Linked DNA regions of Schizosaccharomyces pombe. The protein of the gene in region 2 interacts with the protein of the main gene of each other region in a biochemical or structural test. Each region holds a gene or a part of one and is shown on either strand. Other genes may lie near its edges.

Evidence for each region. Proteins that work in one complex are often made in the same cells at the same time.
Region 1: the proteins of mud1 (region 2) and ubi4 form a complex in vitro, tested with the Schizosaccharomyces pombe proteins (one study listed by BioGRID).

Annotation. Positions count from the first base shown.
Region 1 is NC_003423.3:1,043,771-1,047,447, forward strand, and holds ubi4 (protein modifier, ubiquitin), read right to left. Parts: upstream 1,823-3,677; 5' UTR 1,797-1,822; coding exon 648-1,796; 3' UTR 501-647; downstream 1-500. Other genes in the region: ecm14 (carboxypeptidase), read right to left, coding at 1-189.
Region 2 is NC_003424.3:1,136,619-1,141,575, reverse strand, and holds mud1 (UBA domain protein Mud1), read right to left. Parts: upstream 2,459-4,957; 5' UTR 2,447-2,458; coding exon 2,243-2,446; exon of another isoform or gene 2,129-2,242; coding exon 1,334-2,128; 3' UTR 1,251-1,333; downstream 1-1,250. Other genes in the region: rRNA methyltransferase Rrp8, read right to left, coding at 1-955; protein ema19, read right to left, coding at 2,459-3,010; dolichyl-phosphate-glucose--glycolipid alpha-glucosyltransferase Alg10, read left to right, coding at 3,845-4,779, 4,822-4,957. UniProt on the Schizosaccharomyces pombe protein: Recognizes and binds polyubiquitin chains. Acts as a linker between the 19S proteasome and polyubiquitinated proteins via UBA domain interactions with ubiquitin for their subsequent degradation. Aspartic protease.

The DNA of each region.
Region 1 (3,677 bases), on a different chromosome or scaffold from region 2:
CTGTTCTTCTGATATGGCCGCAGTCTCGCCATTAAACCCAACGTAACTGGTCATCCAAGATCGAATATCTGAATTCCATTTCACTCCAAGTTCTCTAGAACTTTTTCCGTAGCAAAGGAATAATACAAATACGATCTGAGAAGCCAAAAGGATAAATACTAAAGACTTTAGAGATTTATTGTAAGCCATGAGTTAGAAAGAGCAGTCTTCAGTGACATGGAAAAAGGAGATATAGAATAATTAAGATATTCCCTTTAGAAAAGCGTCGAAATAAATAAATTAAGTAACGCTTGTTCGGTATAATTAATAAGAAGAATATAGCTTGGCGCTTCGCCCAGCTTTGATTATCTACGTAAGGGACGACAACAGTTTAACGCTGAAATTAGCTACTACTCAACGAAATTTAACCTCTTCCCTAATCAAACGCTATAACACTTTACATCGGTGAAATCAGGTCTCACTATTGCCTATAAATACAAACATGGATCGCACATTAAGAATATACTAAATTAAGTCAATAATATTATACCAACATAAATAAAGCAAAAAGCTATAGTATATTGCTATAATGCATTGTATAGTTATGGATAACTAAATCAGCCAATTGAAAAAACGTTAAAGTTGAACTAGTCAATTACAAAGGATGATTAAAAAAGACCGCCACGAAGACGAAGAACAAGGTGAAGAGTAGACTCCTTTTGAATGTTGTAATCTGAAAGAGTACGTCCATCTTCAAGTTGCTTACCAGCAAAAATAAGACGTTGTTGATCAGGAGGAATGCCTTCCTTATCCTGAATCTTGCTCTTTACGTTATCAATGGTGTCAGAAGACTCAACTTCCAATGTAATGGTTTTACCAGTCAAGGTTTTGACAAAAATTTGCATACCGCCACGAAGACGAAGAACAAGATGTAGAGTAGACTCCTTTTGAATGTTGTAATCTGAAAGAGTACGTCCGTCTTCAAGTTGCTTACCAGCAAAAATAAGACGTTGTTGATCAGGAGGAATGCCTTCCTTATCCTGAATCTTGCTCTTTACGTTATCAATGGTGTCAGAAGACTCAACTTCCAATGTAATGGTTTTACCAGTCAAGGTTTTGACAAAAATTTGCATACCGCCACGAAGACGAAGAACAAGGTGAAGAGTAGACTCCTTTTGAATGTTGTAATCTGAAAGAGTACGTCCGTCTTCAAGTTGCTTACCAGCAAAAATAAGACGTTGTTGATCAGGAGGAATGCCTTCCTTATCCTGAATCTTGCTCTTTACGTTATCAATGGTGTCAGAAGACTCAACTTCCAATGTAATGGTTTTACCAGTCAAGGTTTTGACAAAAATTTGCATACCGCCACGAAGACGAAGAACAAGATGTAGAGTAGACTCCTTTTGAATGTTGTAATCTGAAAGAGTACGTCCATCTTCAAGTTGCTTACCAGCAAAAATAAGACGTTGTTGATCAGGAGGAATGCCTTCCTTATCCTGAATCTTGCTCTTTACGTTATCAATGGTGTCAGAAGACTCAACTTCCAATGTAATGGTTTTACCAGTCAAGGTTTTGACAAAAATTTGCATACCGCCACGAAGACGAAGAACAAGGTGAAGAGTAGACTCCTTTTGAATGTTGTAATCTGAAAGAGTACGTCCATCTTCAAGTTGCTTACCAGCAAAAATAAGACGTTGTTGATCAGGAGGAATGCCTTCCTTATCCTGAATCTTGCTCTTTACATTGTCAATGGTATCGGAAGATTCAACTTCCAATGTAATAGTCTTTCCAGTTAATGTCTTGACGAAAATCTGCATGGTAGAGATTGTGTGTGTACAAATGCAAAGTAATGAAGGGGGGAAGCCACCTTTATATAGACGTCGCCACTGCTCCTCATTTTTCACTCATTCATAAAATCAAAATTTAAATACAATCTCCAATACGATAGTTTTTTCTAAATACATTTATGTATAGAAATTGAAGCATATGCACTCAAATTTTTGTTGTGTTTATAAATATACATTGCATCGATTCGTTCGTATGCCATGTTGTCTACTGTGTACGCAACAAAGATTCCTAGACGATATGATGTCACCTCGGTGTCAAAATTAGTCAGTGACCAAAAAAATACAGGAATCCCCCTTATCGCAATGTGAAATGGTGTCTGCAATTCAAACATATCGATCATTAACGTGGCTTTGCAAAACGACTAGTACGAGAGGAAACGATGCAACAGTACAAAATGAAATAGGATAAATATCTGTTTACGCACAGACACTTTGGGAGACATATTTCTAGTGCATAGGTAGTTGGGTAGCTGTTGATAAATCCATGTCAAATAAGCATATTGTTGTACTTTAAAACGAACGAATAAAAAGTAAACATGTCTTAAAAGATAAGATGCTTGGTACGAATAGGAAAGATAACGACTAACTTCTATCAGCAGAGTTACTGTCCATTTCAGTGTAGATGTGTCGCTACAAAGGAGGAATTAACATTTTTCTAGTCCTAGGCCGTTCAAATAGATATCCACAATTTGAAGAACAATTAAACAACATTATCTTTTCCAATTTCAATATTTGAATGAAATTTGCTCATAAATGTGCTTTCCTTTGTGGTTGAATGAGAAAATAATGACAAGACTATAAAATCATGTGCGATTTAAAAGACGAAAATAAAAAAAAAGTCGACAATACGAACGATTATTAAAAATCGTTTTACATCCTTAAAGTATTGTTTATCATCATTAGAAGCATAATCCGAAAGATACCATGGTCTACGATATATGTGCTCTTTGTAAATTTTGATGTTTATACTTTTTTTTGATGTGGGTCAGGTTTGTGACTGGGAATTTGGAGTAAGCTGCGCTCATGCTTCTTAGCGATAATTAGCATAGTTTAATGCTTTTTTAATGAATAATTTATATAGATGTTAGGTTTTAAAACGCAGATTTCTTATTCATATGGAATTCTACTAATTTCTTATGTAGCACACGGAGTATAATATATTTTGCTAATCAATAAGTTAACCGCCAACCTGAAATATTAGAATACTCATCTACTTTGAGCTGTTCCAGGTTACAATTGTACAAGTAGTATCAACCCATCCCTAGTATTTACATAAGTGTTTCCGTACAAACGGTGGGTTACTTACAATAAGATCATTAAAATAATTAATTCTCCTGATTATGGTTCTAAGGTTACTTGGATTTTTGAAAACTCTACTATCAAGTTATGTAAATTAAAAATAGTAAAGCCGGTACTTAATAAAAGTATACATTCTTGCCATTTTTTGGACAGCAATTCGGCTATGTATATTTGATCCTTGGTAGAATCCTTTCGTGTTTTTACTAAGATATACGAAAATATAAGTAGACGAGGATCTCTTACTACCTTTCTAATTGCTAATGTGCTAAGTCAGCCCCAGTTATCACAATCGTACAATGTCAACAATTCACCGGGACGTTACTTATGCAATAACCTAGTTGTAAGGATATTCTCACCGGTAAATCCCAACCCGAAATCAGCACTGAAAAAGAAATCTCTTTGAAACCTCAGTAAAAAAGCATCTCTTTTTACATTGAAAATAAGCTTACTTTGTTGTTTTATTATACTAAATCTGTCTTAGCATAGCGATATAAAACATAATGTTCGCATCGATTTTACTAATTAAGTTAGTGCAAAACCTGTCAATGTTAT
Region 2 (4,957 bases):
ATCTTCTTTTGTAAATGCAAGCACTTAATATGGGAGGGAGTTCTTCACATTTCCCGTGTACAGGTACTTTTTTGAACTCAAACAGAGTAAACATTTTGTTTTGAAGCTGAATGGACTTAGTTTCAAAGCCTAATTTTGGAAGTTCTTTAGCAAAAACTTCTCCACTCTTATCAGAGAATCTGCTTTTGATTTCAGCAACCCAAAGTAAACCACCGACTTTAAGAATACGATAAGCTTCTTTCAAAAAAGATTGCCAATTGGTGCCCATAAGACTTAAACAAAATACAGCAATATCGACAGTTTCGTCAGCCATTGGAACATTCGCAATATCACAGGCTACCACATGTTCATTGGGAGCAACAAGGTCAAAGCTGTGCACTTGCAAAGAACGTGATTTTCTAAATGTAGAAGCTATTTTAGCTTCTCCGCAACCGAGGTCAGCAATTACAATATTGTTTTTCTTCTTTGCGTTTGAATGCTCAAATCTGATCTTTAAATGTTGAATGAAAATATCAACAGGATTTTCCGGCCAACCTTCAACTTGATATCGAAAACCAGCGTGATAAATATCAAACAAATCTGGATTTTCCTTGAACATTTGTACAGCTTTGTCACTTTCCGTAGTGTACAATTGTTCATTTATCCATCGAAAATTGGCACCATCTAGTTTATCTTTCATTTTTTGTTGAAGAGACGTTAACTTAGTATGCTTAGCATCCCCCTTGTTTTTCTCTTTAATAGAAGGGACTGATTTTTCTTTTTTAATCTCGCTTTTCAGGGAATTGTTTGTGGTAACCGACTTTGCCTTTTTTAAAACTTTTTCGTTGAGCTTTTCGCCTTTATCTCCTACATTCTTTCTCTCACCTTTCTTTCTTTTTTTTTCTTTTCTAGATTCTTTCGTTTGGTCTGATGCGCTTTTACTTACTGGACCTAAGTCCCAATCTACTTTAAACATGAAGTAGGGAATAAGATTAAATTTGGTTGTAAGAAAACTTCATCCTACGTACGTCAAACCAATGAAACCATAAAAGTTTCTAAGTATTAAAATAAATAACATTCATTTTTTGTGAACGTAAAATTAAAATAACAAATACTTGAAAAAACTAATCTTGAAATATAAAACTCAGTTTGATTAAGCAATTACGCATATATATAGAATTTTTACTTTCTGATACAAAACACATAAAAAATGATATAAAACACATTAATTTGAAAGAATTCGTCTACAATAGTAGAACAGGACCGATCTTGAAAATAATCATTTCCCTAATTTTTATCATGACTAAAATCATTGATTATGTATATCCAATCTCCCCGAAATCGAATTAAGTCGTTAAAGGAGAAAAGAAGCAGCTACATCTAAATCTCCATTCGCAGCGTCTAACGCCTGCGCAGCCTCTAATGGATCAAATCCCATACTGACTAGCTGTGCAATTTTGGAGTTCAAACCGGGGTCAGTGGGAGGATTTACCAAGGAAGGGGGATTGGAAGATCCCTCATTGTTGGGTGCTACGCTTTCTTTGGTACCAAGACGAGTGCCACTTTGTGGATTAGGTGAAGAAGCGCTCGCCTTACTTGCAGGTTCAATACCTAAACCGTGTGCATTTGCAGATGGCTCCACATTAGCCAGCAATTTTGGAATTTCAGATTCTCCAAGAAAAGGAATTTCTTTTCCATGAATCCGAAGAACGTTATTTTCTAAATCTATACAAGCTTGATAACGGCGTAACATATCAAGACCAAGTAGCATATCAACATCCCGACCTTCAATAACAGTAAATCGACATGGAAGATATAAATCGCCAATCTTTAAAGGTGCACTGTGAACACAACCTAATATTTTAGCCATTCCTACGCCCTTAGCGACACCTTGAAATCTAGTGTCAAGAAGCCTGGTAAGACCGCACTTTTCAGCGCAATCAGCAGACAAAATGGTAGCTTGAGCACCAGAATCCACAAATGCTTTCACCTTATGACCGTTAATCTCAACGTTTACAAAAAGCATATAAACTTGACCAAACACTTCAGGATGGTTTTCTATTGCCGATTGCATATTCTCGGTCACGGCATTTTGACGAATCTGCTCTTCAATACGTCGTTGGACTTCAACATCAAAGAGGTCATCTTCCTACAAAAATGTTAGTAAATCACCTTCGAAAGCCCTTTATTTATTGTGTCCATTAAAACTAAATTATTGGACTCAGCAGTTTATACGGGCGCTATTATGCGAAATTAAACGTACAGAAAATGAAGGCATTCCCATCGAATATGTAGAAGAAGGAATCTGCAATAATTGAGAAGCATTAATGGACTGCCATGTAGTAGCAAACGCATTGGGATCATTAAGGACAGCAGCTAGTTGAGGAAACTCTGTGCGTATTCGATTTAATAGAAAAGGAGTTGCTAAAATCGTTTGACGAATATTTTCTGGTGTTAAATTATTCATTTTTGTGTTTTCTTAATCACTCTTTGAGGTTATGGTAGAGGAAGGACCTGATTTGGCAGCATGACACGACTTGACTAATCGGCCACCCATATCAATTGCCATCCATAAAGGAATGGCCAAATAAGGAAAATAAAAACTCATTATCATCCATTTTTTTTCAGCAAATAACTCGAACATGCAGCACCATGTCGTAGTAAAAGCATGCACCCCGTATATGAGAATTGCAACCCATAAAACTGGATCCCTCGCTTTCTTTCGTAAGCGTAGAGAAACCCAAATAAAAAAAGGAACTTGAAAGAAAAGTTCTGAAGAAAACAATGCAGTTTTCCAAGGCGCAGGGATTAAAAGAATAGGGTCTTCATATGTAGATAAATAAAAGCGTCGCAAACCAGAAAGACAGCTTAAAGAGCCTCCAAGCCATTCAGTTATAGGTAAATCAACAAATAATGCTGCAGCTAGATGGCTTACGAAATAATAGTAATACAAGGTATCCATGTGAAGGCGTGTGGTTGGCAATTTGTATATCTCACTACTATAAATGCGGCGTAATGAAACCACTTTCATGAACCCAAAACATTGATATTCCTCATTCAGAGATTTTGAATTGCTATAGAAAACAATTTTACAATTTTAAACGGTGACATTGAAAGTTATTAGTATTTTTAATAACAACTGCTTCTCTGCGTATTCTATATACGTTACTTAATAATGTATTATCGTGTTTGTTTTAGAGCACTACGTCTAAATAGTTTTATAAAAACAATACGTTAGATGTTACACTTACAAGCAATAGGAAGACGATTGTTTAGTTTCATATTGGTGGTAATCAGTATATCGAGTAATTTTGTGTGCCAATATTAAGTTAAAAAGCCTCAGGCAGATTTCATTAATTAGTTAGTATTACCGCTTAATTGCCTTCATGTACATGATAATGTTAGACCACATTACTATGAAATTTATCAAGTATTAAAATTTAAATGAAATTCAATGTTATCAGTTCTTTTAAAAAAAAATGATGCAATTAGCAGCCTAAATATAAAAAACAGACTCGTCACATTTCGTACTTAAGTGTGCATAATGTTGAATGGTTTTTAGAATGCTATCTTTCTCTAGATAACTAATAATAAAATCATGAAATTCAATTAATTTGATGTAAAAACATTGTTCTCCCACTCTTGCTATATTGTAAGCATTTGAATTCCAAACTTCCTGCCAACAACCTCAGCGAAATTTAATTCACACCTTTCGAAAAGTTGATCGTTTGTTTTGGAAATTGTGTTATAGGGTCTAAAACAAGCGAACATAAAAAGCTGTTTGTAAAAGGTGCGCCCTTTATCAAAACCTGATTTTCTTTATTCGTTTATTATAAACTTTCATTAAAGACCCAAAACACAGACAATGTTTCTTGGAAAAGCTATAATTCTAATACTATGGATTTTTCTAGCTTTTACAGGTCTTCTAGCTATACAATACTATGTTCCTAATCCTTACTTGGATGAAATATTCCATATTGCACAAGCTCAACGCTTTTGTAGAAAAGATTGGGATTGGGATCCGGCGATTACTACACCTCCTGGTTTATACTTGGTTTCAGTCGCACTCAGCCCATTTATAGGCTGCAGCAATGTATCTCTGAGGTTAATAAACTGGCTTGTAGGCGTAATTGGACTGCCATGGCTTATAAACGATATCGTTTCTCTTTTGAATAATAGGAAAGGAGATGTTGTTACCTATTTCGCTTATACGTTATCGTCATTACCTCCTTTATGGTTTTTCTCATTTTTATACTACACTGATATTGGTAGTACTTTTTTCGTCCTTCTTGCTTATGACTTTGCTCTCCGAAAGTCTGCTTTTTCAAGCTCTGTGTCTTGTTTTTTTTCTCTATGGTTTCGACAGACAAATATCGTTTGGATGGTCTTTATTGCAGTTACATATTTTGCTAGCAATATGTCTTTCTTCAATCCCCACTTAGCTGAAGCAACTTTTGCTGATGTTCTTCTTACTATAATTTCATTCTTAGGGGTTTTTCTTAAAAATTTAAGAAGATTTTCGTGCCCAATTCTATCCTATGGTGCAGTATTTTGTTCCTTCCTTGCATTTTTGCTTTGGAATGGCAGTATTGTCTTAGGCGACAAATCTCATCATCAAGCAAGCATTCATTTATCTCAAATAAATTACTTTCTGTGGTTTTTCTTTTTCTTTTCTTTTCCCTCTTATATTATAAAATATCTAATGTCCCATTCTCGACGCTCCAAACTTTTGTCCGCAGTCTTTTCTAAAAAATCTTTTTTGATCGTTTCTGTGCTTTTGTTGATAGCGCATTTTAATACGTACGTGCTAAATTGGTATTGTTTAATTTAACTAACGTTTAGAATTTTCCATCCATTTATTTTAGCAGACAACAGGCATTATTTATTTTACGTTTTCAACAGACTTTTTCGAATTTGGTGGTTAAAATATTTAGGCCCATTTTCTTATTTAATTTTATACTACTTTTTTTTGGATATA